Arabidopsis thaliana: one gene and its partner. The protein of the gene in region 1 interacts with the protein of each later gene in a biochemical or structural test. Each region holds a gene or a part of one and is shown on either strand. Other genes may lie near its edges. The genes, in order: DL1 and SFC.

Region 1 (14,837 bases):
ATGGTATTTTACTAGTTTATACAGTTTCTTTCTTAAGTATATTCCCAGGAGATATGGGATAAATAGAAGATGTGCTATTTTTGTGTGGGTGGATGAAGAATAGATCTCATCTCCGCGCTTTTTTCTTTTTGTAAATTATATAAAATAACATATGTACAACCCCAAAAATAGGGAGAAATGAGATGATGAACTCTTATCAATTTGTGTTTGATATTTTTATTATTGCTCCTATTCACTTCTTGCCCAATTCTATCTTGAATTTCATTTATACTAGTCGGAATAAACCGGCCACTTCATGAAAGATTTGTTGTAACAAACAACAAACTTCTCCAACAAGTAATTAAAATGAATCCAGAACAGAAGGCAATGGTTTGGGGGAAAAAAAATGTGGGAAAGATTAGTTGAAGCAGCAAAAGTGATTAGAGAAAAGCACGTTAAGAAAAAGTGTACAATAAAAGTGTTAACATCAAAACATCAAAATATTTAATTTTTGTTCGTCGGCATTAGTTTTGTTATAAACCATAGGAGAAAATGTCAGAAATAGATCCACAACTTAAAAGAAAATCTCACGACGTGGCGTAGGTAAATGGAGACTGGAGATATTAATGTGGGGGAGATGAAGAAGACTTTGAATTGGTCTTTGTTTTGAAATATGCGTTCACGCTTAGTGGAAACAAACACATGGACTCGTCTCGACGCTAATTACGCGGACCAGATTGTGCCACGCTTTAACGGTGCACGTTGGCTTTGTATTCGATGGGCTGAAACTTTTGCTGACTTTGTGTTTGGACCAATCAGCCACTTGTTCACCAATTAAGATTAACCTTCTTTTTTTTTTATATAGATTATCGGCATTTATGTATATTTTATACGAACTGGTAATAATAGTGCATAACAATTGCAACAAAACTACAAGCTTTTGGAACCCTGAAAGGGTTGCTGATTCATGGAACTAGAAGTGTATTCTAAGGTTGAGACTTGAGAGTGTTGGCTGAGAAATTTATCAGGTGTAACATTGGTAGCTTTTGGTTTGATAACTGGACCGCCTTTGGTCCACTCATCAAATTTATTGGTAACGACGGGACAAGAAGCTTGATAGTTGCCGTTAATGCTACCATTCCTGATGTGTGCAAACCTGATGGTTGGAATCTTGCTAACCCACGGTCTGATCAGTATAAAACACAGTCAACAATCCATTGGAAAGCGAATTACAAGCTCTAATCTATTATTTGCAATATTCAGCTGCTGGAGCAAAGGCTATCGAAAGGTGTGTTTCCAAGGTAATAACAGACAAGTATCTCTTTTCCTGAACAAAAAATAGTGCCATCAACTTCAGAATCTGTAACTGAATTCGACACATTAGGACTTGGCAAGCCAAGTTTGAAGAGGTGTCCTGCAAATTTTCTTGCAAGAGCTCAAATTCCTCAGACACATTGTCTTATTGCTTAGACACATGTTTCATATCGGACAAAAACATTAGCTTCCATGAACCAGAAACACTATTAAAAAAACAAACAGAGACAATCTTTGAGGAAATTACATTAAAACTATCCAATTTTGGATCGACATACTTTTAGATTAATAATATCTAAATACTCGTCGACTCTATTCTCTTGGGAAGCATCGCAAGTTTATTGCCGATCAACTTTACTGCTTCTTCGAGGAAATTTTCAACTTCTTCTTTCACGATTACCTTGTAAGGATCTTGAGACAGATCAAGATCCAATTTAAGTGAAGCTTCTTCTCGCGCCTTAATCTCTGTTATCTTGTACAAGTTCGAACTTTCCAAGATCTTCTTCACCGTCTTCTTTATTTTCCTCCGCAGATCCTTGTCGATCTCTACTTCTTCTCTCGCTACTTCCTCCATTGATGATGTCTCGCCGACAGAGAGAAACCAAAGGGTTTTTGTTTTGTTTTTTCTTACGAGTGATAAAACCTTCTTTAGGGTTTCTTAACTATTGAGCCGTAAAATTATAAATGGGCCGATAATATGTTTAGGCCCAATCATCATTACACATTTCCAAAAAAAGTTCTTCTTGGACTTGAAAAACTGGGCTATATATCACTTGTTTGAACTTTTGCTAGAACTTGTTGGCTTTGTCTGGCTGCAAAACAAACAAAGAGAGAAGAACATGATCATCATTACTCTGCAAGGTTCTCAAACCCATTTTGACATTCTTGTACATGCCAAAAGACGGTTTTTGTTGCGGTCCAATTTGTTTCATTGTTGATTGTAAGTGTATATAAATAATACTAGGCATTAACATACCGTAGTAGTGAATCACTGGTGTCTACAGAAGTGGAGGATTTAGAGTCACCACGACCAAATGCAACCTCGTCCATGCTCTGCCCTATGCGGCGGTATCTACCTCCGGCCTCAACAAACGCGGGACAAGGCCTGTAAGCCTTAATTGGCCACCAACCGAAACCGGGGACAGTTGCAATGCCACCTTGAATCCGTCCGTCACCATTACACCCACTCTCTTTCTCTTCTTTCCCACACGCTCTGCAACCACTGTTTCATTCCTCATGTTATGATCTATTGACTATAGAGAGATGGATCCATCACAATTCACAAATGACAATATAACCAATCGCTCAAGCCAACATGAGACCACAAAGAAATTTATGAGGTTAGTTATTGTAGAGAATCATTTTAAGAGATTCACTAGTGTAACAAAATTGAAGATTCATATAACACTAACAAGTTAACAGCAGAAAAGAGTCTCTATGATTTCATCATTTACGCAATCCCTAATCTATCACTAACTCTAAAATCCTTAATGTCAACGAAATTGGATTAGCTGAGAAAGGTTTAAGCTTTCCAATGGAATCGATGAAGAGAAGCAAAAGGGTACCTGAAAGTGAGGTCGTTGTCGTCGTCATTATCAGTTTCTACGACGGAAGACGGCGAAGAAGAAAGAGAGAGTAGTGGATGAGGATGATGCTTTGATGATTTGTTGAGAAAGAAACTGCTTGAGCTTGGCCATGGCCTTGATTTGTGACTACCATTGTTGAAGATGAAACATCGAGGCAGAGATATTGATGAAATGGAATTCGCCATTTTTCTTTCCTCTGTGAGCTAAGAGAAGAGAGTGTGAGAAGATAATGGCCACAAATTCAGAAACGCAAAACAAAATAAAAAAGAGTACATTACAAATTTTTATTTTAAACTATTAGAATTTTTTTCTTATTGGTAATCATATTTAAATATTATACTCTTTTTTTGGGTAGAATGTTTAATATTATACTATTGTTACAGAAAAATTATCATATGCGAAAAATACATTTTATAGTAATTAAATAAAGGGAATAGAGAAAATCTAATCTATGTGGATGTTATAAAAGATACGTAACATATCGGGTGATGGACAAAAAACATTAGAGGCAGGACAAACAATGTGGATGTTATAAAACGATACGTAACATATCGGGTGATGGACAAAAAACATAGAGGTAGGACAAACAATGTGGATGTTATATAAAACGATACTGCATGGTATCGGGAAGATCATCTTATACAAATTACAGACCCTAAATCTCTGCTCCGAGTCTGAGCCACACCGACCAGAACCGAGCAAAACAGTGGACATGACATGCCGGTATCACTTGGACCAAGCAACAGCATCGATCTCGGATTGGGCTGCTCGATACAATTCTAGCCGCTTTGAGATGGCACTGCGTCTCTCCATGATTGCTGGATCTTCGTTCAATAGCGACGAGAGCCTCTTCATCTGTTGGATATCACCATATTAGTTGACTCAGTGTTTACCCGAATGACACTTCTTTAGGTTAAGAAAAAAGGCAGAGAGCACTTACATCCATGGTACCGAGCTCCGCAAAGAAATGGTCGAGGAGACTGCGCTTCGCTTCTCGGACTTGGCAGTATACGATGGACTTGGGGATTGAATTCCGCAGGCCAGCACAGACCATGTTCACGTAAGACAAAACATTGGATCCTGTTGCCAAATGTCTAAAATTTGTGAGATATACGGTACCAGATAATTATTTATTTATATGGGTTAACCTTACCGATTCGTCTGAGATAGGAATCGTTGTAGCGGTCGAAAATGGAGTGTGTGGGGTTACCACCCTTCTCAACATCCTGGGGAAGTTTCCTGAAGAAATCAACAGTGAGGTAACTGCACTCCATGTCAACCAGCTGCAGTGTTGCTTTCTTACTTCCTTCCCGCATTTTATCCAGCGACTCTATCGCCGCATTTGTCACCTCCACTCTCAGAGCTGGGTATTGTTTTAGTTCCTGCACATGTTCAAACCGTCTATAACATTGTACAAAAGTACTAGTTGTTGGAGATATATATATATATATATATATTACTAAAAGAAAAAAGAACGTACCACAGTTTCATTCACAGACTTGTGAACCAGATCCTTTAAGATAGCATGAACCTAATATTTAACCATAGAAAAAAAAAAAAACGGAGAGAGAAGCTTATTGTTTTGTGTTAGGTTTTTGATACATCTTTTTAGAGATGAAAGTAAAGAGTTCATACGGTGTCAACAGATGCTTCAGCAGGGCCTCTGATGGAGACAATAGAAGACTCAATGAGACGACGGTAACCTTGCTCAGGAGCAATCAAGTGAGGCTGGTAACCATCAGCCTCAGTGACCAGCTTCCGGATGTTGTCCATCGCTAGCTGCTTGTCAAATTGGAGTCTCTTCAGAGCCGCAGGAAGCTGGTTATCAAACACGTTGTACACTTTTTCACCACCAGCACGCCTGTGTAATCAACCATAGTCTTAAATTACAATTTTCCTTTTGTAGTTTCAGAAGGTCAAGAGTAGAAATATCAACTCAGACGCTATAACAACTCATGGTGTAATCTTAAACATTTGAAGTAAAAAGAGTCAAAACGTACACTCCATCAAGATGCTCTTTGAATATTTGATCAAAAAGCCGACATATCTCCATTATTGAGTACAACTTCCCCTGCATCAGAACATTAAGTAAATCTTGATAGCGCAATTCAATCAAAAATAAAAGAATACACAATTTACCCCTGCATCAGCTGCAATAGGCTTTCCAAGGCGACTTAGTTCAGTTTCCAGCTCTAATACTGTTTTGTTAATAAGTGACTGAATGCCAGGAATTCTCGACTTGATCACACGTTCTAGATGCTGCGCAACAAATAAAATTGTTGCAATTAGGCTCTGTCCTGATGGTTTTATACAGAGAAACGTGCTAAGCATTGCCATAACTTCGTAGTTTCTTAGTATTTTCTGTCGGCTGCTAAGAAAATTAGCAGCAATCGTGAAAACACTGGCCCTGAAACTCTTATTTACCACTCCTAACAAATTTCACAACGCCAACTTACTTATTATAAAGAACCTGGTGAAGAAAACTACCCCTAGCCTCGTGAAAGCACGTACCTTGGAGAGCATCTTTGCCAAATGCTCGGAACCCATTTTATTAGCAAGGTGCCTATACTCAGTAGTATTGGAAAAGTACTCCCTCTCTCTTTTCCGAGCCGCAATCATGTCGACATTCTTGTTAATATCTGCTTGGGAACGGTTGACGACACCAACCCACGGATATTTAAGTTTAAAAGATCTCCCTTCCAGAATCTGAGCAAAAAATATCATTTGGTAAGTAGCGGTGCACGCAATAAACATTAATGAGGGAACATAAGTATTATGATGTTACTACACAAATTAGCATTTTATAGCTCCAACATCATATCATAGACTAATTACAACACATTTTATTCACAGTAATTCGAAATTCTAGTACAGATGTTCTATAAACTGGGAATTCAACTTACTTCCACTGCATCCGTCCCCTTGTCCATAAGATCAATCTTTGTCAAGACACCAAATGTTCTGTCCCCTGTGAAGATCACCAAGATTATAAGAGACATAGGATGACAGAATAATGTGTTGGGTCTCTTAGGTGGAAAAATGAATTGTTTGTAAAATGCTCACCCGATGGATCAACCTCACGGGAAATTTTAATTGCATCTGAGGTAGCAAGATCTTGGTTTGCAGGTGAGATTGCCAAAATGATGCAGTTGGGCTATAAGGAAATTTAATTAAATAAAAAAAAAAACAGAATAGTGTCAACTCATTTGGCGCTACGAAAACATAACAAATATAGGGAGAATACTTATATATTACCGAATCTAATTTAAACTGGCGATAGCTATCTATAAAACATTAAAGGGTCTGGGAGTAAGCATTTTCATTTACCTTTTCAATGTAGGACCGAACCATGTTTTCAATGTCCTTCACTATACTATCAGATTGTCCATCTGCATCAACCAAAAGAAATTTGTCGTGTCATGCCAAATTATGTATGGTAGAGAATAAAGTCTATTGCCTCATGCTTCATCGCTAGAAAAAATAGACCAAAACTTCTTGCTCTACTGTAACTTACCAACAGCAACTTTTGTAAGCCCTGGAAGATCTATCAGTGTCAAGTTGACAACTGCACACATAGTAAAGAGGATAAAAAATTAGAGAATGAACAAAAAGCACATACAACTGGAAAGAGATTTTGGGTTGTCCTTACCATTGGGAGAGTATATGCTAAGGTGAATGGGAACACTAGAAATAGCCTTGCTGCGTCCAGTCTCTCTGTCAGTCTCATCTTGAATCTCCTTCCTCACAGCAGCTATAGAGGTGATTAAATTAATCAAATATCAATGGAATACAGGAGAAGGTGAAACTTGAACTGCAAATTGAGATAGCCGAAACCCACCAAAATCAGTAAACTTTTTCCTCGGGAGGTGAAGAAACTCTGCATACTCCCGGGTTCCATCATCGATCTTTTGCAACTGTAAGACAAGGGGCCTTCGAGTAACAATGCCTACAAATAGTTACCGCAAATGCATATTGTCATTACTCAAGGAAATAAGCAATTTCATAATTAAAACTAAGTAAGAAGTGTTAACACTGTATTTACCAGATCCACGGGGTAAAAAGTCCTTTCCCACGATGCTCTCCAGGACTGAAGACTTCCCTGAGCTCTGTCAACACAATAAGGATACAACATAAACTTAATGCCACATAGAATTATCAAAGTACAGAAACCCCTCTCCACAACAATCGTAGCTTAAATTAAATGGTTCAAGACCAACTAGTGAAAAAATATCCAAGTCAAAGCCAAGTCAACATTCCTCAATACCAATTGCTTGCAAAGCTAGTTCATAGTAGAAGCTATTAAACTATAATTCCTCACGATCCGGATGTTGATAAGCAAAAACAACGAAGTTTAGGGCAAATTTATCCGAATACCTCAGCTCAATATCAATTCCGAATCGCAAAAAAAACGAACGAATCGTGAGATAGATCGTCAAGCATATAATGGAAGGGGAAGGAGATCGAGATGCAAACCTGACCACCAACGACGGCGATCGCAGGCAAGGAATCCCAAAGAGTAGGTAAAGCGCTGGAGTCTCCATGGTCTCCTAAAGCCGTGCAAGCTCTCTGTATCTTGTTAACCAGAGAGATCAGATTTTCCATCGTCCTCTACTCCTCGTTTCCCCAATATCAAATGAGAAGCCCAAAATACAGTAGCTGCTACAACAGATCGGCGAGATCTGATACCTCCGCCGGTAAAATTTATTGCGGAAGGAGTAGATCTGCGATGCGACGGTGAGCTATGGAACCAGAGAAATAGAGATAGAGAGAGATGAGTTTTTGAATTTGAGTCGATGAAGAATTTTTGCTTGCTAGTGTTGGGAAAAAGTAAAGGGGAAGAAAGCGGTTTATATAAAAGCCAATACAGGGTCTTTTCTTTTCCAAAGAAAATTTGAAACGGCATGGTGTTTATTTCGAGAATTCAAAGACGACGAGGAGTTGACCAAAAACAAAATAAAAACGACGAGGTGTGTCGTATATATTCAACCAATCCCTTAATATTCCACATCTCTCTAACCAGGTAAAGTAATGATAATACTATTGCATGCATGACCAACCATATAAATAAATATAACAAGGTCGATTTTCTTGTAAAAGAATGTAACGAGTTAAAATTCGAATAAAAAAACTATCACTTATTAGTAGAGTAAAGTGATTTCATGTGGACCACGAACATCCTCATTACGATTGCAGTTCAAACGGTCCATAGATTGAGGATTCAAAAAAAAGATAAGAGACGTTAAGGATTATGATTGTTTATTCAAAAGGATGACACTAAACAACAAAATAACTGTAGTTTTGAAAATTTGAATGTATAAAATAAAGATCTTTTCTAGAACAAACCCACTAAATCTGACTAGTAATGTCACATCGATTTTAGATAGCGTTTGCATTTTGGCAAATACTATGTTTGGTTGGTGAGATCCAAACGCTTTTTAGAAATGTATAAAACATAGCACTAACACATTTTTAAACCTTATGTATTGTTTACGCAAATACACGTTATTTATTTTCCAGCTAAGTGGTGAAAAAATAAACCGGTTCACATTTTTTTTTTTAAATGTTACTAATGTTGTGTTTGTCTACACAATTTTTTTAAAAAATGTTACTAATGTTGTTTGAGACAAACACAACGTGTAACTTTGTATCCTACATACTCTTGTATCAATTGTTAGATTTTATGATGTTCATACGTTAACAAATATGTATCATGTGACCAACTTCTATCCCTCAAATTAGAATTTTGAAGTTAGTGAAAACGTGATGTAAAATAGGTTTAACATATGCTTTATGGGAATATGTTGAGACTAATATGAAATACAAATGAGGTTGGAGTGAGACATGCTATGTAATATATTTAGGTATGTAGACTGTATGTCTCCGTAGCAGCTGCATGAATTTAGCTTCCAAAAGCACATATACTTGCACGGGTCACACGGTTTATTTGCAGTGTAACTTTTTCGAATTGCGATTCTTGAACAAAATCTCTAAGAGTACTCTTCTACTACTTTCTGATGTTTTTCGTCATATGTGAGTGGAAGATGTTGGTTTAGTGTCGGGTTGTGTAGAGAGGACAAGAGTTAGACCATAGACACTCAAACAGTCAAACCAATCTATTATAAATAGATAATATCTCTCCGGTTTAGTATTTAAGCTTTCTTTGTATACCATTTATGTTTAATGAAGGTTTCGCGCTTGTTGATACAATCTGAACGAGATCTAAAGAAACCGTAAAAACATTTAGAAATAATACATCTCCAAAAAAAAGTCATTCGGAAAAACATTTTATGATTTAAATTGATGGATAATTTGTTCTCAACTTATACATCCAATTTCCGACCAATTCAAAACGAAATTCATCAATACTTTAATTTCTTCCTTTTTTTTTTTTTTTTTTTTTTGTCAACCGATATAAATTTGAACTCAAAAGATCCAATCCCGAGAGATATTGTTTACATACGTGACATGATGCGGTACGGTACGAATCTTTCGTGCCAACTTATCCGCTTTTACATTTGCACTACGAGAAATTAAAGATAAAGAGAAATTTATGAATTCTTCCCTATCACTCTACAACTCCTTCAAATACACTGGAAACGCCGGCCATTCGGTTGGAATCGGTGAATTGGTGAAATTTTTGTTTCTAGAAATCAACTAATCCGTCAAAGATGGTTTATTCCCTTAATGATGAAGGAAAATGGGTTCTCTTGTTGCTAATAAAATAATGGTATTTATTTTGTTTCTTAGAAAGAAAAAAAAGACTAATTTAATTTGGTTGGTCACACACAACCGTTTTCATCGGAAGAAGAACAAGTTGGATTGATTTTGCTTTGGATCTCACATCTGAGATCAGATTAATCTCTCTGTGAAGTCGAAGAACGAAACCCTAGTTCCCATGGATCTCTCTTCACGCTTCTCATCGATCCTTATCCTTCTCTTGATCTCCATCTCCATAGCTTCGGCTGAGATTCGTAAATCAGAGATCCGATCCGATGATCGTCCAATCATCCCTTTAGACGAATTCGGTTTCACTCACAGCGGTCGTCTTGAGCTTGACGCTTCCAAGATCTGGCTTTCCAACAGCAATCCCGATCTCGATCTCTCCAAAGTGGGCTTCTTTCTCTGCACTAGAGACGCTTGGGTTCATGTGATCCAACAGCTTGAAGAAGAAGAGATCACGTGCGCTCTACAATCAGATCTCGTTAAGCATGTGTTCACCTTCAACAATCTCAAGGGAGGAGATAAGAGCAGATTCTCCACCGTATTCACCGAGAACGATGCGGATCAGTACTCTCTCGTCTTCGCTAATTGTCTCCAACAGGTCAAAATCAGTATGGATGTTAGATCCGCTATGTATAACCTTGAAGGTAAAAAGGGAGGTCGTGATTATCTCTCTGCTGGAAGAACTGTTCTTCCTAAGGTCTATTTCTTATTCTCTGTTATCTATTTCTCTCTCGCCGCCACGTGGATCTACGTTCTCTATAAGAAACGTCTCACTGTTTTCGCAATCCATTTCTTCATGTTGGGAGTTGTTGTCTTGAAAGCTTTGAACCTTCTTTGTGAGGCTGAGGATAAGTCGTACATTAAGAAAACTGGAACTGCTCATGGTTGGGATGTCTTGTTCTACATTTTCAATTTCCTTAAGGGTATCACTCTTTTCACTTTGATCGTCTTGATCGGCACCGGTTGGTCTTTCTTGAAGCCCTACTTGCAGGACAAGGAAAAGAAGGTCTTGATGATTGTCATTCCTCTCCAGGTTGTCGCTAACTTTGCTCAGGTGGTTATCGATGAGACTGGACCGTATGGCCAAGATTGGGTCACGTGGAAACAGATCTTTTTGCTTGTTGATGTCGTCTGTTGCTGTGCTGTTCTGTTTCCCATTGTCTGGTCCATCAAAAACTTGCGTGAGGCGGCTAAGACTGACGGGAAGGCTGCTGTGAACCTCGTTAAGTTAACTCTGTTTAGGCAGTACTACATTGTGGTTATCTGCTACATCTACTTCACTCGTGTTGTTGTGTATGCACTGGAGACCATTACCTCTTACAAGTATATGTGGACTAGTGTTGTTGCCAGCGAGTTAGCCACACTTGCCTTCTATCTGTTTACTGGCTACAAGTTCAGGCCAGAGGTGCATAACCCGTACTTTGTTGTTGACGATGAGGAAGAAGAGGCTGCTGCTGAGGCTCTGAAGCTTGAAGACGAGTTTGAATTGTAAGTCATCACTGGAATAATCGTGTCACGTGTGAGTCAGTAAAAAGAAACATACTTTGTTTGACAGGATGATTGAGAGTAAACCGGATCATCAGCTGCCTGCTAAACCGCCTTCTCTTCTTTGGTTTTTTCCTCTTGTTATCTTTATTAGAATGCAATACCTGTTTTGTTTTTACTTGAATTGTTAGGATACTTATATAGACTCTATGAATGTCTTGTCCCCCAATGCATAGTATGTGTATTACTGGTAACATAAAACGCTTGGTGCTGCTCGTTATACTTAATCTGAGTCTCTGCTTTTCATTTGATAGACAAAATGGCTGATTAGAAAAGTTGCTTAAGGAAGCAAACTTTGTTCACTACTATTTGCCTTGTTGGATCTGTATTTATATCTTTGTCTGAAGTGACAGACGAAAGAATTGGTATAGTGTGTGGAGGTGGAAGAGATTAACATTGAATGTTTGGTGGACCATAGAGATTGATTGGTCACATAAATACAAAAAGTTTGGCGGAAATTAGGTGTACGAATGCGGAGGTGATTTATTGAAGGGAATACATATTTTGGACCTTGAAAAACCGGATCTGTACCGGTTTGGGAAGGAAGGGTTACCGTCCAGTGTATCGGATTGCTTCTTCAGAATCCGGTGCCGTCGATGTGCTTGTTGGGGGGACTAGCTTTCTGGGAGTCTTGTGGTGGGTTGGTGCGCCGGTGGGGTTGATTCGAGGACGAAAACCGGTCTCTTTCGTCGGAGTTTCTCGAGCATCGGTTGCGGCCTCGAAACTGTAGGGCTTGAGCCCGCCGGATCTAATGCTCCGGTCTCTCTGCTAGCTTCCATCAACAAGCGGCGATCTTCCTTCTTTGCCGACATGTTTTCCGATTTGCTAATTTTGTAACTGGATTTGATGTTGTTTTTGTTGCGGCCCAAGCCCATTTGGGATGAGGATTAATAATATTTAAAAAAAAAAAAAAAAAAAATTAGCACTTGTTGCTTGTGCCAAGATTCTGTCTGCCACTACTCTGGCCTCAAATGTCTTCAAGTTATACAATTATCGAAAATCATCATCTTCTTTAGAAAAATCTAATCAACTAAGATTCATTATTTAAATAATCTATGCTTAAACAAGAAAAAGGAGAATGGAAAAGGAAAAAAAAAAAGAGTTGGAGAGGAGGTCGGCACAACAAAGATGGTATGTCTCCTAAATCATCCTCCGACCAAAACACCAACACAAAACTAATTAAATTAAATTTGGGGGCTATATCACGTCATCAACCGAGTAAAAGTACAAAGCCGACGAGATCTAGTGGAGAAGCTTTTACAACCGAAGCTTGATGATGCAAAGCAAGAAGAAGAACAACACACACTCAACGAATCTGCCTTTTCCCTGCAAAAACGTCAACAAGCATTGCCTATGTCACACTCCTTTAATTCGTTTATTCAAGAGGTCAACAAGTCAAAAAGTGAGGCACTCTAAATCAATTATATTTTCAGACAAAAGTAACAAAACAAGAGTCATCTCCACGTGATAACCAATCCAAAACACATTGTCACAGTTTTTCGAGTTTATAATAAAGATTCCAACTTTTTAACCAAAAGTCACTAACTTTACCACAATGTTAATCCTTCCTTATTCGAGCTTTGTGATTTTTTTTTCTTTTACCACTAAATTTATTGTTTAAATGAAACAAAACAGATAAATAGAGTGACAAAATATGTCTAAATATGCAACTTAACAGTAACGACCTTCTAGTCCTAAATGTCTACGAAAATTGTCAAAGTAAAACAACAAATGAAGTGTAAAGTCGAAAACGTTACCCCGGCGGAGGAAATGGACATGTAATCCGGTGATGGGTTACCCGTGACTGGCTGATAGATGCCACCACCGCTGGAAGAGCCACCAGTGTTACCGCCACCGCCACTGCTACTACCACCAGTGGAGTTGCTGCTACCACTACCACTACTATGAGTGGAAGAGGTCTTGATCCCAAGTGAGTAAACCGGAGTTCCGTCAGGGTTGAAGAGACCGTAGTTCCTCTCGGAGGTTGGTCCAGGCTTCATGTTCTCGTTAAAGAGAGCAAAGACGAAGATGGTGAGATCGCACTCAGGTCGTATAGGCGTCCTCATCTTCTTGCTCATCATCATCTTGATCAGATTCCCATTGTACTTGCGAGCATTGTCGCAGGTGGCTCCGACTTCTTGCGGGTCACCGTTGGAAGGCCATCCGGTCTCGGAGACGACAATGGGAACTTTCTTGTAGCTGATGCCGACAGCGTCAAGAGCGTGATAGACTGCGTCGACCTGAGCGAAGAGCATGTTGTCGTAGTGGAAATTAGAGCCAGGATCGGTGAAGCCTTGATTTGGTTGGAAGAGTACGAAGTCGAGAGAAACGTGTTTGGGGTTTTCTTCGTAGGCGAAGAAAGGGTAGGCGTTGATGAGGATTGGTGAGCCAGTCTTGACGTGGAAGTCCAAGATGGGAGTGAGGGAGCCGAGGAGGTCGCGGCGGAAGGAAGTGGCCGAGGGAGGGTAGGATACATCCAAGATGGCTAGTGAGTGAGCCGTCGTCACAAAGATCTGCTTGTTTAGGCCACAATCCACCAGAGCACCGTGGATGCTTTGCATAGCCGGGAAGAGGGCTGCCGTGAGGGCTGACTGGTTTGAGGTGAGGACTTCGTTTCCCACTACGATGGCCACGATCTTGGTGTTTGGGAGGTAAGCTTGGACGTTCTCCTTCACCCAGCCTTGGGCTTTAATAGGGTCGCTCATCTGAGCCAGGTACTCGTTACCGAGGGCCACGGTGAGCTCGAAGCCGGAGCCGGCGAAGGCACGTAGGGCTTGTGGATCGGCGTCATAGAGCTTGACTTTTGTAGCTCCCACAGACTTGAGGAGAGGGATGACGTTTTTAGGGGGAGGAAGGTTGTTAGCGACCTGGCCATAGTTGATGCCGATGGAGGAGACGATGAGAGGAAGAGAGAACAGAGCAAGGCAAAACAGAGAGAAGAGAGACTGCAGAGAAGAAGAAGCCATAGATGAAGTGAGAGAGAGAGAGAGAGAGCGTAGTGAGTGGTTGTGAGCAAGATGATAGAGGAGGCAGTGATGGGACCAGAGCGTTAGGATTCACTAAATTTCAAAGTGAAATAGTAATAAAGAAATAATTGAAAAGAAGAAAGAGAAAGAGTAATGTTGGTTTGGATGAGCTGGAAGTCAGTGTCTCTGGAGCAAGCAGTAGAGGAGAGAGCATCTTTCTTGTTTTGCTTCCTCTCGGATTCTCACTTCTCTTATGACAGATCATTCTTGTCCTCTTCTCTCTCGGTGCTCTCATTACAACACTTGCTAGGTATTTGAGACAGCTACATGGAGACAGAACACCAACTAGAACATCTACCACTCATGTCTTTCAACAGCCTGTTTGCTTCAACTAGTCTTTTTTCCAATACACCAGAATTTGACTAAATCCAACTAGGTTGATGACCTTGAACGGCTCTTTAAAGTTTAACCAGATACAACCCAATGATTCAAAACACCAATTAGAGCCATCGCCACACATTGCTTTGTCTCATATAAAGTAAAAGCACACCAACATATGAATAAAGTTTAGCTCACAACAAGAAAGAGTTCAATTTAGCATATCCCTTGAAAGCAAAAGAATGTTAATAAATTCTCATTACAGAGATAATAGAAGACAACAAAAGAGAAGATGAGAATGATAAGATTAAAGACCTAAGTGACGCACTCACGCTTTGAATGGAAA
Region 2 (15,500 bases), about 13 Mb from region 1:
AAACAAGTTAAAACTTTCGCGCAAGAAAAATAAAACTCATACACAAAGACCAGACCACAACAAGACTCTACGCTGCGAGTCAAATATAAATATTAAGAAAATGATTAAAAATATAGTTAAATTCATAAACAACAAAGACCACAAAAGACTCTACAATGGGAGTCAACAAAAACTATTTATTTAGTTGAGTGAGTCGTGTGATGAAAGTGATGGAGACTAGAAATTACAAACGAAGTTTCAATATTAGAAAAGAACATGAAATTGAACGCAAGAGACTTTAGACTCACCTGCAACAGAGTCTCGTATCTTTTCTCCAGATTGGTACACTCAATTTAATTACAAAGGATTTGGAAATTTTTGAAATTGCATTAAACAAAAACAAAACCAAAAATAAAGATCAATAATACAACAGCAAAGACAATAGTACGATCCAATGGTATCACTGATATATTATATATGGTTCTCGCTTAAGCTCCAATCGTAGTCTAGTCTTATCCTGCCCAACGGTACTATATGTTTTTTTACTTCTACCAAACCAAACCAAACCAAACATTGTCATTCGTCTTCAATTGATACAAATGCCCTAAAAGGAAAAACCAAAACTATTTTCTTGTTAATCTCTTCCGTTCTTTATCTTCTTTCTCCATAAACTGTTAAATATTTAATTTTATGATAATCTTTCCAGCAACCCTACTACATATATTTTTTTTTTTTTATTTATTTATTTTGCAACAAAACAAATTCATCCATTGATTTTTTTTAAAAAAAATCGCCTAGAAAAACTAGTACAAACTAGAAAAAAATAATTCAAAGAAAAAAAAAAAATCAAATTTTTAAAAGTTTGAATTTTCTTACTTAAATACCAAAGGATGACCATTCATCTAGAACGCCAATTAGCTTAATTAAATCTTTACAATTATGTCTCAAAAATCACACTAGCTAAAGAGGACAAAATATGACATTTTATTGCCCAAAAGAGATATTCGAACTATGTGTGTAGGGTGACATTTATCTGTGGTAGCTCTTTAACCCGAGGAGGGCAATATTCTAGCGAGAAAGGACAAGCCATCCATCGCCTCTTAATGAATCTGATACGTCCCACGAGCTATCGATTTGACAGACAATATAGTATGAATCGTGTCGATTTAAGTAGCGTCCATGCAAGCCCGAGCAATTGCTACGCGGAACGCATCCGCTTCTCGGGCCGTATAAGACATTACATCTACTGAATAAATGGCTTTATAATATTTTCGAACATTTTCGCGTTTTGACTTTCTAAATAAACCATAAATCAAAGGGGATCTTATTATTTAATGTACTTATTTTTCTTTTGAAAATGATTTGTTTTGTAAACATCGATCTTTTATGTAAGATAATCATAAAATATTCATTTATAATTAGGTAATTATAATATTTTGGTTTAATTATAAAAGTACTTTATTTTTTTTTTGGGGGGTAAAAATCCTTTATTTGTAATGAAAGTTAATATTTGAAATATTTTTCACAAAAATATTTTGATTAATCCTCTTAAGCAAATTTTGTAATCGTAATAATATTTATGGATTGCTTCTAGTTGCCCTGAAATTTCTTAACGGATTAAAGACAACCAAAACGGTTTGGGTTTGACATAAAATTAAAAACTTATAATTTAATGGAGCTTATGAAGTGTGGGCCTGGAGGGATATTTGCCCAGAAATTCGCTGGAAAAAGAAAACGATGTTCCAGGTAAACCTTGAGAGTTAAAAGTCATTTCTTAATAAGCTACAACGTCAAACACGAGTTTTGATCAAATAAACTTCCAAGTAGTCTCCATCTTCTGACTTTGATATGCACACCAAGTGGGGTTTGGTGTCTTCGTCTACTAGTATTTTGGTGTGTCCTTCCAAAAACACACGTATCTACCATAAATGTCAAATTAGCGAAATGAAAAAACAACATTTTATAAATGCATCCGTACGCAGAAACAAGAGGCCATAGTTAAGAGAGCTATCCATGGAATGGATCTTTAAGCAAGTTACACAAAATGATGAATGTGGTATATGAGTTATGCACACATACAGTATTAAGGAAAAAAGACAGCTTGTCAAAGCCGTTTAAGGCTCAACAACAGCAGTATTGTGTCCGTCCCTCCCATTTTTTTTCTCTGTTTTCGTTCATACATACATATATGCATCTCATCTAAAACAAACCAGAAATTTTCACACCAGTCTTGTCTTCGGATTAGAACTTTCTCCTCCTGTCAGGAAAGACATGTGTAATGTTTAAAAAACACTGCAACAACGAGTGGTCTTTTGATGAAACCATAAGCTGAAAACCCGTAAAAACAGATTCACGAACTGAAGGAACAACCCTAAGCAATTGCTCAATTAACGACAGCTTTGCTTTAAGCAAAAATCTTTAACGCAAACAATTGGAATCCATGATTTGATTAATCTGCAGTCATACTAAACTTGATGAATTGAATCAAAAAGAAAATAAGAAGAGGTGTTTCCTTCTTTCTCAGATCAACAGACTTTCACCTGCTCATAATTATAAATTGCTTGCTCAAAACCATGTCTTTCTTTAACCCTGGAATCTTCCCAGAAACGATTCACTAGTGTTGAATCAAAACTTGTGGCAACATCACTGGAATCTATCAAGATAGCTTCCAGGAAGTTGAGGTAGCTTTAGATTCTCTTCTGCGTGTACTATCAACCAGTCTCAAAGGTAAACAGTTTCTTACTATGTTACCATACATTCGCTGTAATACAGTCTCTAAATTGGGTAAAAAAGAAGTCTAGGAATTAAAAATATCTTACATGTGCGGCTAAAAGATGCTACATGATTGTATCTCATGGACCCCAACTTCATCTCTGTGTAGCGTTTTCCAACCAAACTGGTATGTGAAAGATCAGACATCTGTTTCATCTAAACTAAGCTTGGCACGATATTGACGACCTTTGCTTTGGAAACTGGTGCAGCTCTCTGATTCTCGTATTTCAGTATCCCCATCTTCTGTTGCACTTGGTCTCTCTTCTTCTGCCAACTCTCCAGCTACGATAGGCTTCGTCTCATTACAGTTACTACTGTCTTCACTTACGTCCTTGGTCTTATTCTGCGGAATAAAGGAGACTTTTGGAAATGATTCTGACTCTGGATTTTTCAATCCTTCAACAGCATTGGGAGTGTCCATGTACTCTCCTGTTGGGGACTCCACATCCAATTCACAAGATGGATCAAAGCTGTAACGGGTGTAACTCGAAGGATTTAGCAAGTAATCCGGTACCCGAGCACCACTTTTTCCCTGATGAGATACGATTTTTGACGAGGCAGAAGCTGAACAAGTATCTTCAGGCTTCTTCAATGTTTCTTCAGGCACAGAATCAAACCTGACTCGCTTACTTGTCCTTGCTTCTGAATCTGAACTATTCTCCTTCCTTTTGAGTATAGGTTTTCGCGGCATAGCTTCGGATGATTCTTCTGCGTGTGGCTCTTTGCTTTCCGAAGGTTGACTTGCAGAAGTATTAAACTTGTTAGCCTCAATTTCATCTTCCTTCAGCCTAATTCTTGCAGCAACATAGTTAGCACGAGGATCCCGAATCCGCCCACAGCCTTCACCGTCATTCTCTTCCCCTAGTGCAACTTTATCATACTCATCTTCCTCTGCCTGTGTTAAGAAGCATAATTCATGGAAACAACACTCAGCATCAAAGAAAGTGACATCCTATTCATAATACGGTATGTGCTACATATAGTTATAGCAAGAAAAACTCAAATTCAAGAATCTTAAAGCTGGTTACATAGGTTGATGATTCACGTACAAAAACTCTATAAGTCACACAAACCAATATGATACTACATTAAAAATTCAATGCTCTTCTCATATGAATCTACCAAATCCAAGAGAAAAGACCAACACTGTTCCCTAATTTCAATTAGCTAAGCAATGAGAAACAATCGTTAAGAGACCAAAATTGATTTACCTCGTCATCGAGAGTGCGATCAAGGCCCATGGAGGCTCTGATACTCCACACACCATCAAAATCCTCGCCGCAATCAATATCTTTGAGATCATCCTCGGAAGGCTTCTGCTGTTTTAAGAGCTCGTCAAAGGATGAAGCACAAGGAATCTCGTCTCTATCGTACGAATCTCGCTTCCACTCCCGCTTCTCTACCTCTGTGTCGGAGAGAGTCCACACCGACCCCGATTGCTGCCGCGACGCCGGAGCAGAAGACGACGTGGAAAACTTGGAAGACGAAGGACGAGAGAAGGGTAGAGATCCGAAGATCTTCGCAACGCGAGACTGGAAATCTTCGTCGGCTGATCCAGACGATGCCATTGTGAAGCTATTAGAAATTGAAACACACACAAATCGATTGCTGTGAATAAACGAAGAACGAACAAAATAATAGACCGCCTTTCGTGTGATCCTATAACAAAACAAATTTTAAATGGGCATTTTATAATGGGCCTGGCTTAATGGAATTTCCTACTTCTTGGCCCAATATCGGCCTACTAGTCACTGTTACCTCTATACAGTTTTTAATTTTTTTTTGGTTGTGTGCTAAAGTGGATTTTAGTATCCGTAGGCCGTTTGAGGTCAATAAGGAAATGAAAGATGCGACAGTCTAAAAAGGAAAAGAGAGATCTAAGTTACATTAGATTGATAGCCATATGTCGGAAATCATTTGAGAGAGAAAACATACGATAAATGTTGTGAGAAAGATGAAAGAAAATTGATGTGAGAAAATCTGATTAGAAGACCATATTAAATGTTGGTTAATAGTAATACATAATGTTCATTATTATGTTTTTAATTGCAGATGTCTTAGTTTTACCAGTTGAACAAAGATCTTAACCTAGATTTAAGACGATTATCGTTATGATTAAACAATATTGAACTAGCTGGACAAGACTCAAGAGATCATACATTTCATTAAACAATAAGGATTTTGAAACCAAGAAAATGTATTTTAATAATCATATGCGACTGTAAAGTCTGCAAAAGAAAGTAAGATCATCGTGTCCATTTTTTCCAAATTTCTCCCACTTTTCTTTTTGCTTTAACAATTTTTTTCCAAAAGAAAGTAATCATAAGTGTTCAATTTTTTATATTTAAAGATATTTTCATATAAAATAAAATAAACATGTCTTAAAAGGAATCATTTATACCCCACTGGCCTCTCTGTCTCTCCGGAACAAAAGATAATGGAGAAGCAACCAGATAACGGGTCCCACTCTCCCCTCTCTATTAATACTCTCGAGAGAATCGCGTTTACTACACGCGCCTCCTAATTTCCAGCCTCTTTAATACTACACGGGCTTTAAAGGCGCGTGGATATAGTGGATTTTAGCCAGAGTCCTTGTTTTCTCAGATGACCACTGTTACAGAAAAAGCACAGTCAGTCCTCTCTTTAAAAAATTTACACTTGAAACGACGTCGTATCTTACCAACCTTCACGATCTCCGGCGGTAACTAAAACGGCATAGTTTCGCCGTCTTTTGTGGTTAAAATTTTCACAAAGACGGTGAAGTTTTTTTTCTTCCTTTCTTTGATTTGTCTGTCTCTTCTCTTCTCCCGAGACACTTCATCTAAAAAACACACCCCCACTGTTTTCTTGTTTTGTTCTCTCTCGATTTCGCGAGAAAAAAACACCAGCTCAAAATTACGCTTGGCTCGAGACTTTGAAGATCATCGGTTTCTGTTTCTGTTGGATATTTCGGGGAAGCTTTGGGAGGAGAGGATCTCACGTTTTTGTTCGTTTATGGCGTCTGTGTGAGACATAGTGGTGGTTCTAGCTTTTAGGTTTTTGGTGTGTGTGTTCGTGTTATGTTAATTGCTGTTTGTGTCGAAGAAGAGGAAGTAATAAATTAGCTCAAAATGCATTTCACTAAGCTTGATGACTCTCCCATGTTCCGCAAACAGGTTTGTTTCTACTACATATCTTTGGTTCCTGTCTATGTGTGCTTGTCTTGATGTGTCCAGTCTTTTAGTGTCGTAGGTTAAAATTGGGTCATATTAGGCGAGATTTGTTCTTCAAAAGTTGTCAACAGATACTAATTTTGGAGCCATTAGGATGTGTTGTGTCTGGAATTTTGAATGTCCACCGACATTTATATTCCAAAATGTGAGTGGAACTTCACTGGAAGGTTCGAATTAATGTGTCACTAAGAAATTGGTTTATCTGGACGGCCTATTCGCGCTTTAACTTGTTGCTCCATGAAATGTGAAATGACTTATGATCCAGTGCACTTGTTTGGGTCTCTGATTCGTGTGTTTAGGATACATTTGTGTCCACTTAGCTACTACTTTCATGCTCACTGGTTTAGTAGGACTTCTGCTATCTAACTCAACTTAAATGCTAAGGAAGTTCCTAGTGTAGCTCAAATTCTGTCCAACAACTGCTCTGTTTGCCTGAAGTTGATGATTCTTTTGCCCCTATATAGAGTGCCTGAATCACTCAATCTTTGGGGTTATCCATAGTTGCAGTTTCTTCCATAATTGGATTGTGTCTTTACTGTTTTCTTTGCGTTTATGTATTTTTCCTTCCGCAGCTGCGTTCTTACATTGATATCTTTTTCTTAAATAGTTACAAAGCATGGAGGAGAGCGCAGAAATATTGCGGGAAAGAAGTCTCAAGTTTTACAAAGGATGCCGGAAATACACGTATGCTAGTTCAAATTTTCACAGCTAATTAGGATTGTAGCTCTACATTTAGAGTTTTCTTCTGGCTGAAACATGTATCTTTTAACAGCGATAGATTATTCTTTCTTTTTACAGTGAAGGACTAGGCGAGGCATACGATGGGGACATTGCTTTCGCAAGTGCACTTGAAACATTTGGTGGAGGCCATAATGATCCAATAAGTGTGGCTTTTGGAGGTATGACCGATTATATGGAAACTCGCAGTAGCATATTGTCTGTTTATTCCCATAATCTTTGCAGTTTTCATCTGAGATTCTTTGGCACTTTCCATTTTAGAATTCATAATTTCGTTTTTAAGCACTAAATACTGATAGTGGCCTTAAATTATGAGGGAAGTTGTTGTTCCCGCTCTTTCTCTTCGCTTTCTCTTTGCTAGGGTTGTTAGATTCACTGGTTTTGGTGGAAATGTTAACAATTTGCTGTTAAAAGTGCTGACAAACTCTAACTTGCTGTGCCAGGACCGGTAATGACGAAATTTACAATTGCGTTGAGGGAAATTGGGACTTATAAGGAAGTTCTTCGGTCACAGGTATGCTAGTTTGCTATTTTGACACTCTCTGTTTCTCCCTATTCCCAGCCTTCTCTCTGATAACTCCTGTGGTATCAACGTAGGATAGCTTTGTTTTCCTTCAGCAAAAATGGCCTCTTTATAGTTTGCTTTACCTTAAGACATCATATAGATTTAGAGCAGATCAAGTCATTTCAATCCAGGTTTTGATTTTGATGAGTTCCATTGTCAGGTGGAACATATACTGAATGACAGATTACTTCAGTTTGCCAATATGGACTTGCATGAAGTTAAGGTACAAGCTGCTTCCTTTATTATTGGCTTGATATACATGTTTTGAGTTAACTTTGCATCATTGAGGTATTAGTATTGACTAGAATATCTATTAAACAATGGAGGACAAATATTCTGCATGTGTGAATAGAGAAAATATGAAGACCTGCCAAGAGGCATTTAATTTAATATGGACATTAGGTCTTGTTCTTCTGGTTTGACTTGCAGCACTAGAAATCTAAAAAAAAGAACTAATTATCACTCATGTGGTCAACCTTCCCCAAACAAAATATAATTGTGAATATTTTCTGAGGTCATTAATGTAGATAAGGTCTGATGATTGCGGAAAATATGGTTAAGTTTCTTGAGCCTGCCTTTACATTGTGGCTAGTCAGCTTGTCCAGATATATCTTTTTCCATTTTTATAGTAGGCTAGCATGACATGGTTATATTTGGATATGGAACCCTGAGAGATCATTTTTGCCACAGGAAGCTCGGAAGCGCTTTGACAAGGCTAGCCTTACCTACGATCAGGTATCCCTTTTGTCAAGGATTTTTGTTTTCCCCACTCCGCTGACTTGGTTTGCACTACAAAAGATATTTTGGAAAGATTAAAAGTTCTCATCCTGACTCTTTTCTTTACTAGATGTAAATCTGTATGAAAAGTTTCAACCAGACAAAATGGGTCGAGCTCAAATATTTTAGAATCATTCCTCGTTAATGGAGGAACGCTAGGGTTCCTCTTTTTCAAAGTTATGATATGTGTTGCAGTTTCCGTGCAGGCAGTGTATAAATTTGCAGAAACCTAGCTAGTTTTTTTGTTCATGCTACATTTGTAGCTTGGAAAATAACTGATAGAAATAGAGAGGCATATTGGGTCCACGGCTCCCACTTATCTGGACGATTAACTAATTAACTTCTTATTGTGCTTTAGGCCCGTGAGAAGTTTTTATCTTTGAGGAAAGGTACAAAAAGTGACGTTGCTGCTGCTTTAGAACAGGTATGGTGCATGATTTTAGTAAAGCTCGTTTCTGATTTTTGATAACCATGTATTTTTATTTCTATGTTGTAACTAACATATTTTGACACTGACAGGAACTTCATACTTCGAGGTCTATGTTTGAGCAAGCTCGGTTCAACCTTGTAATTTTCTATCGTTTGATCTTGAGTGTTCAAATCTACATACTTGCTGTCCATACGTAGTATTGTTGAAGTAATCATTTGGTTTCCCTAATTTATGCTCAGGTGACTGCTCTATCAAATGTTGAAGCTAAGAAAAGGTTTGAATTTTTGGAAGCAGTCAGTGGAACAATGGATGCACATCTTCGGTACTTCAAACAGGTAAGTTTGTTATGCTGCTTAGAATTATAAAATAGTCTGGAAAGGTTTGTGTCAAATCTAAACGTGGTTGCTTTCAGGGTTACGAATTACTGCATCAGATGGAACCATATATCAATCAGGTCGGTTTAATGTTATTTTCCTTTTCTTCAAGTGATAGATCCCTAAATATTTGGGGTTTATGTATAATTCTCTTCTACGACTATGTATGAATCTTCACATGTGTTGAAAACGCGGAGATAGTAGCATTTAGAAAACTACTTATACATCAACTCTTTTTTTGTAGGTCTTGACATATGCGCAACAATCCAGAGAAAGATCAAATTATGAACAAGCAGCACTTAATGAAAAGATGCAGGAGTACAAAAGACAGGTTGATCGAGAGAGCAGGTGGGGTTCAAATGGTTCTAATGGATCACCAAATGGAGATGGCATACAAGCAATCGGTAGAAGCTCTCACAAAATGATAGACGCCGTAATGCAATCTGCTGCAAGAGGAAAGGTTGATCAACGTCTTTAACATATGATTGATACATCTTCCAGAGAGTACTATTAACATTTCTTGGTGCTTTCAGGTGCAAACAATAAGGCAAGGTTATCTCTCTAAACGATCTTCAAACCTGAGAGGAGACTGGAAAAGAAGGTTTTTTGTTCTTGACAGCCGGGGAATGCTCTATTATTACCGAAAACAGTGTAGCAAACCATCTGTGAGTTTTGGTTTTATATTTATCTTTTATTTGAAAACAGCAGAATTATGCAAACGGTATGGTGTTCATAAAGTAAAAATCTATTTGACCCATTCTTTTCACACTCTGACTTAGATTATTTGATGTTTAGGGGTCTGGAAGCCAGCTTTCTGGACAGAGAAATAGCTCCGAGCTTGGGTCTGGACTGCTTAGTAGGTGGCTTTCTTCGAATAATCATGGACATGGTGGTGTCCATGATGAGAAGTCTGTAGCTCGTCATACAGTGAACTTACTCACCTCAACAATTAAAGTCGACGCTGATCAATCAGATCTGAGGTTTTGCTTTAGGATCATATCACCTACAAAAAACTACACGTTGCAGGTTTGATTCAGAGTGTTTGTTACTGCCTTAAAACTTTATTGTATACATGTTTGCCCAAGTTTAATAGTTTTCACTCAGTGTTTACTTATGTTTGTCAGTGCAGGCTGAGAGTGCACTCGATCAAATGGATTGGATAGAAAAGATCACTGGGGTTATTGCATCACTACTTAGTTCTCAGGTCCCTGAACAGGTAAGTATTATCATTATTCCTTTACCTGACCAGGCTCATATTAAATACCAATGCAACTTTGGTGATTGTCCATCGGCTACATTTCAGCGTCTTCCTGGTAGTCCCATGGGAAGTGGCCACCATCGATCTGCTAGTGAAAGTAGCTCATATGAAAGTTCTGAATATGATCATCCTACTACTGAAGAATTTGTATGTGAGAGGAGCTTTTTGGGGTACAATGAAAGGCCATCAAGAAGTTTTCAGCCGCAACGGTCCATTAGAAAGGGTGAGAAGCCCATTGATGCTCTTCGAAAGGTCTGTGGGAATGACAAATGTGCGGATTGTGGAGCTCCAGAACCAGACTGGGCTTCTTTAAATCTGGGGGTTCTTGTCTGTATCGAATGTTCTGGTGTTCACCGTAATCTTGGTGTGCATATATCTAAGGTAAAAAATCTCCAGAACTCTTAATTGCTTAGAAAATATATGTAGGCTCTATAACAACCAACTTATGGAAGGACGTAAAGAAGTCCATGAGAATTTTGAAGTGACACTAGGCTTATATTCAATAGCAATTCAGATTATAGAGCATGTGATAGAATTTGAACTTTGGATGGCTCGGCCTTCAATTTGACATAAGTTATACAGCAATCTGAAGTTGGCTGTTGCTACAGGTTAGGTCACTCACTCTCGACGTGAAAGTATGGGAGCCATCTGTTATAAGTTTGTTCCAAGCTCTTGGAAATACTTTCGCAAACACAGTTTGGGAGGAATTGCTTCATTCAAGGAGCGCCATCCATTTTGACCCCGGCTTAACAGTGTAAAACTCCATTTATGTTTGAAAGTGATGATAACTTTGATCACCTAGAAATCATAATGTTAAAATTACTCTGCCAAATATGTGCAGGTCTGATAAATCCAGGGTGATGGTCACTGGAAAACCCAGCTATGCTGATATGATATCTATCAAGGAGAAGTATATACAAGCTAAGGTTTTTAAGCTTCTACCCTTTATTTGATTCCTTATGTTGGAGATAAATGAAGCTATTTTTCTTCTCGAGGGCGTGCTTATTTCTTCCCAGTATGTTGTTCCTTCAAATATTCATTGAGCATGTAGAAAATATTTACTTTCGAGGCATTCTCTCGTTGCTCGGTCATAGGCAATGTTCAGGAAAGCTCATTCAAACTTTTTTTTTTTTTGTCATTCCACAGTATGCGGAGAAGTTATTTGTTCGGAGATCAAGAGACAGCGATTTCCCACAATCAGCTGCACAACAAATGTGGGACGCAGTGAGTGGCAATGATAAAAAAGCTGTTTACCGGCTCATTGTCAATGGTGATGCGGATGTGAATTATGTGTATGACCAAACTTCCAGTTCTTCGTTAACACTTTCCAGAGTAATATTAGTACCAGAAAGGCCAAAGCGTGAGGATGTTCTACTCAGATTAAGAAATGAGTTACTTGATAGAACAGGTAGTTCTTCAAATATATCTCCTGAGGGAAGCGGAGGTTCCTCTCTGCTTCACTGTGCTTGTGAGAAGGCAGACCTTGGGATGGTAGAGCTTTTGCTGCAGTATGGTGCAAATGTAAACGCCTCAGATTCAAGTGGTCAAACGCCGCTGCACTGTTGTCTTCTCAGAGGAAAAGTGACAATAGCAAGATTGCTTCTCACTAGGTGAGTTGGTCTTCTTAGATCCGCTTATCCAAAATGTCCCTAACATTTTCTCTGGCTAAATCCTTTGGAAATGTTAAAAGTTTTCACACAAGTTGTGTGTATGTTGCAGGGGAGCAGACCCGGAAGCTATGAACAGAGAAGGCAAAACCGCTCTTGATATTGCTGCAGAGTCAAATTTTACTGATCCAGAAGTTCTTGCTCTCCTTTCAGACACAAATGGATACAATCACAGACAGTGCTGATAAAGATGCATAGGCTTGCGGACATAAAAATTCCGGAGCTATGTTTCATCGTTGCTTTCACGGTCTGAAGAGCCAATCAACACTAAAGAAGGACCTCTAATGGTCTCTAGCAAGTTTAGCCCCCAATTAAGTATTGTATTGATGTTTTTGTGATGGATGGATATAGGCTGCATATTGGGAAATTATAGTGTATTGTATTGTGTCGTGTTGTGTGTATGTGGGACTATAGCATCCTGAGTTTGTCATGTCCAGACGTTGTAACTTGTAAGCAATTACTTATGGTTTTGTTCACTTCGTATTAACGTATTTAATTTGTGGCTCGATTTTGGTTTTGAATCTGTGTCAAAACTAAGATAATTTACGTGTTAAACCAGGCCCAAGTTTGAAAGTTAATTGTCAATTTTCAGACCAGAGTACATATTGGTCCACTTATTCCCATTACATTCATAGTTTTGAGTCTTTTGATAATAGTGTTACCATTTCAATTAGGCTAATCTTTTTTCAACCCAAGATATTTTTATAAAAAGGAATGTGGTTCAAATCGGAAAACAAGACCTAACTTTGAATAAAAGCACTACAGCATAAAGCTTTTACCTTTAACAAAAAAAATATAATAATTTTTTACAAGGAAAAAGAAGAGAAAGCAATTATTCTCAGACAAACAAAGGAACCACTTTTGTAGGTGTAGTAGTAATCTCACACGCTAAGACAAAAGTGCACAAATTCTCGAGACTCTCTTCTATCCAACGGTCCATATCTCACTAACCGCATCTAAATAACGGACAAGATCTTCTTTTGGCTTCAGCTCTCTTTAGTCTTTACCTTCCCTCAAGCTCGGTACTCGATGTCTTGCTTTCGGCCACTCATGAAAGCAACGAGAGCTTCCCCTTTCATCCGCCTACGTGGCTATGGGACCCAGTCTAACCACGACCACCTGACATCGTGGGCCCCACTGTAAGGCGGGAACCCCATTTTTTTTTGGCTGTAAGTAACGGATTCTCGGTCATGCTTTTTTGTGAGGATAGAGAGAGAGACTGAGAGAGAGAGAGAGTGTGTCACGGTCTCGCAGATACTGTGTATTGAAAAGAGAGTTCTAGAGAGAGAGTGTGTTATGTGTGTGTGTGTGTGTGTGTGTGTGTGTGTGTGTGTTTGGTTACTGGGATTAATTGAGCTGAAACAGTTTGGATAGTTTTGTTTGTTCTGTTTCATCTTTCAACCACAGATATAGTAATATTGTGAAAACCCCTCATTGAAGTTTGTTCTCTGCTCTCTCTTTTTGGGTTTAGCACTGAGTTTTGGGGTTTATTTCGAGACATACCCATACAAAGTTTGATACTTTTGTGTCCCCCCTTATCAAGAAAATTGTGGGGTTTTTTTTTTTTTTTAATAAGCTTCCTTTAAATTTTCAATTTTTATTTTGGAGGAAAAGAGTGAGAATTTCAGATAAGAATCTATGAGCCAATGATATTCTAATTCATCTTCTTCGTGAAGATTTTGAGTTGAATTCCATTTTCCTTTTTGTCTTGGTGGTTTCTCATTGGTTTTCTCGAGAATATTTGTGGTTTTGGGAGAAGAGGCTTCACTGTAGCATTGAAAAAGTCTTAAACTTTTCTGTGTCTTTTTATGTAAGCTTTGAACAGCTTCACCTTTCTGGGTTTTCTCAGATTGTGTCTAATCTTGAAAAACCTTTTATTCGTAGAAGCAGCAATGAAGCAAAGAAGAAGAAGAAATGGATGTAGTAGTAGCAACACTATCTCTCTACTCTTATTATTCTTCTTAGTCTTCTTTTCAAGAACAAGCACAAGTACAAGTTGTCGTAGAAGAACTGTTAAACACTTATCCACAACTTCAACATCATCTACACCACTTGAATCAAGAATCACTTCCAAGGTTATTGTGATTAGTATCGTCTCAGGGATTTTAACAGGGTTGGTTTCAGCTTTGGTGTTAGCTTTCTTGGTTCGTAGCATTGTCAAATTCATGAAACAGACGCCAATTCTCAAAGGTCCAGTGGTGTTTTCTCCTAAGATTACTCCTAAATCTCTCCACGCAGCTCTCAGTAATGGTATTCAGTTGCTTGGCTCTGACCTTAATGGTAAATACTATAAGATGGTTCTTGATAATGGTCTAGTGGTTGCAGTCAAGAGACTAGGCTCACTTGAAGGAGTTGGTTCACCAGAAAGTAGTAGTAGCAAGTCGGTTAAGAGAAGGTTGCAGAAGGAACTTGAGCTTCTTGCTGGGTTAAGGCATAGGAACCTTATGAGTTTACGAGCTTATGTTCGCGAATCTGATGAGTTCTCTCTGGTCTATGATTACATGCCTAATGGTAGCCTTGAGGATGTGATGAATAAAGTTAGAACGAAAGAGGTAGAGCTTGGATGGGAGATTAGGCTTAGAGTTGCAGTTGGAATTGTGAAAGGGCTTCAGTATCTTCATTTCAGTTGTGAGACCCAGATTCTTCATTATAACCTGAAACCTACAAATGTGATGTTGGATTCTGAGTTTGAGCCTCGGCTTGCTGATTGTGGATTGGCCAAGATCATGCCTAGTTCACACACAGCGGTATCTTGCTACTCTGCCCCTGAGTCCTCTCAAAGTAACAGGTGCTTCAAATATCAACACCATAGCCTTTGAGTTAACTCCTTTTTCATCTCTTTTACTAACACGGTAATGCAAATCCTTGTGACAGATACACAGACAAAAGCGACATATTCAGCTTTGGGATGATATTGGGTGTTCTTTTAACCGGAAGAGACCCGACCCACCCGTTCTGCGAAGAGTCTGCAAGCGGAGGTAGCTTAGGACAGTGGCTGAAACATTTACAACAGTCTGGGGAAGCACGAGAAGCATTAGATAAGACTATTCTTGGAGAGGAAGTGGAGGAAGACGAAATGTTAATGGCTTTAAGAATCACCATCATCTGCCTTTCTGACTTTCCGGCAGACCGGCCTTCAAGTGATGAGCTTGTCCACATGCTTACACAACTGCACAGCTTTTAGCCCAACGTACTTACATGTATCAAAACCTCTGTAAAACCAATCCAGACATCTGCAGTTGCATCAATATATTCTTTTTTCTTTATTCTTGCTAGTAACTGGTTTAACTTTGATCACGCAAATGGTACAAAAAATTGGTCTTACAACAGTCGAAAGGTAGCCAGCAGTTCCCGTTCCTAAACGTAGGACAACAAGCAGTGCTTGATGAACGTACATACTACACTCAGAAGGAATACAAAGAAAAACACAGATCAAGCAATAAGCTTGTCGAGTCAATTTTCTACTTGCAGTGTCCTGACAGGTGACCCGTTGCCAAGTCTGGGTTGTATCAATAACTCTGAGAGGTCACCGCTCTCGAAGAAGGATTTGTGAAGAGCCTGAACACAACCTTCAGCTTCAGCTTCGTTTACTATAAAGGAAATGTTTACCTGCGAGATATTGAAACAAGAAAGGAATATGTTAGGTGAGAACGGAAAGAGAGTTTTGTGATAAGCAATGTTACCTTGGATGCTCCTTGTGATATCATCTGGACATTGACACCTTTGGT

The links.
Region 2: the proteins of DL1 (region 1) and SFC form a complex in vitro, tested with the Arabidopsis thaliana proteins (one study listed by BioGRID).

Annotation. Positions count from the first base shown.
Region 1 is NC_003076.8:16,817,056-16,831,892, forward strand, and holds DL1 (dynamin-like protein), read right to left. Parts: upstream 7,962-14,837; 5' UTR 7,482-7,961; coding exon 7,353-7,481; intron 6,986-7,352; coding exon 6,922-6,985; intron 6,826-6,921; coding exon 6,718-6,825; intron 6,631-6,717; coding exon 6,529-6,630; intron 6,445-6,528; coding exon 6,394-6,444; intron 6,269-6,393; coding exon 6,207-6,268; intron 6,034-6,206; coding exon 5,943-6,033; intron 5,848-5,942; coding exon 5,783-5,847; intron 5,586-5,782; coding exon 5,391-5,585; intron 5,139-5,390; coding exon 5,019-5,138; intron 4,951-5,018; coding exon 4,880-4,950; intron 4,741-4,879; coding exon 4,515-4,740; coding exon of another isoform or gene 4,509-4,514; exon of another isoform or gene 4,411-4,508; coding exon 4,360-4,410; intron 4,262-4,359; coding exon 4,033-4,261; intron 3,960-4,032; coding exon 3,820-3,959; intron 3,735-3,819; coding exon 3,606-3,734; 3' UTR 3,229-3,605; downstream 1-3,228. Other genes in the region: AT5G42053 (uncharacterized protein), read left to right, coding at 653-817; AT5G42060 (DEK, chromatin associated protein), read right to left, coding at 1,589-1,867; AT5G42070 (uncharacterized protein), read right to left, coding at 2,063-2,105, 2,270-2,515, 2,859-3,064; AT5G42090 (Lung seven transmembrane receptor family protein), read left to right, coding at 9,775-11,094; BG_PPAP (beta-1,3-glucanase), read right to left, coding at 12,405-12,473, 12,905-14,113. UniProt on the Arabidopsis thaliana protein: Microtubule-associated force-producing protein that is targeted to at the leading edges of the forming cell plate during cytokinesis.
Region 2 is NC_003076.8:4,252,380-4,267,879, reverse strand, and holds SFC (ARF GTPase-activating protein), read left to right. Parts: upstream 1-5,311; 5' UTR 5,312-5,861; coding exon 5,862-5,906; intron 5,907-6,570; coding exon 6,571-6,647; intron 6,648-6,761; coding exon 6,762-6,862; intron 6,863-7,144; coding exon 7,145-7,215; intron 7,216-7,426; coding exon 7,427-7,489; intron 7,490-7,956; coding exon 7,957-8,001; intron 8,002-8,401; coding exon 8,402-8,467; intron 8,468-8,562; coding exon 8,563-8,610; intron 8,611-8,712; coding exon 8,713-8,808; intron 8,809-8,885; coding exon 8,886-8,927; intron 8,928-9,091; coding exon 9,092-9,307; intron 9,308-9,380; coding exon 9,381-9,512; intron 9,513-9,642; coding exon 9,643-9,873; intron 9,874-9,976; coding exon 9,977-10,063; intron 10,064-10,150; coding exon 10,151-10,486; intron 10,487-10,713; coding exon 10,714-10,859; intron 10,860-10,946; coding exon 10,947-11,031; intron 11,032-11,251; coding exon 11,252-11,715; intron 11,716-11,824; coding exon 11,825-11,957; 3' UTR 11,958-12,333; and 1 more. Other genes in the region: AT5G13310 (uncharacterized protein), read right to left, coding at 2,891-3,646, 3,963-4,319; AT5G13295 (uncharacterized protein), read right to left, coding at 13,559-13,628, 13,644-13,927; CRN (Protein kinase superfamily protein), read left to right, coding at 13,665-14,560, 14,647-14,956; AK-LYS1 (aspartate kinase 1), read right to left, coding at 15,226-15,381, 15,456-15,500. UniProt on the Arabidopsis thaliana protein: GTPase-activating protein (GAP) for ADP ribosylation factor (ARF). Involved in the spatial control of provascular differentiation. Required for the formation of the normal pattern of continuous secondary veins.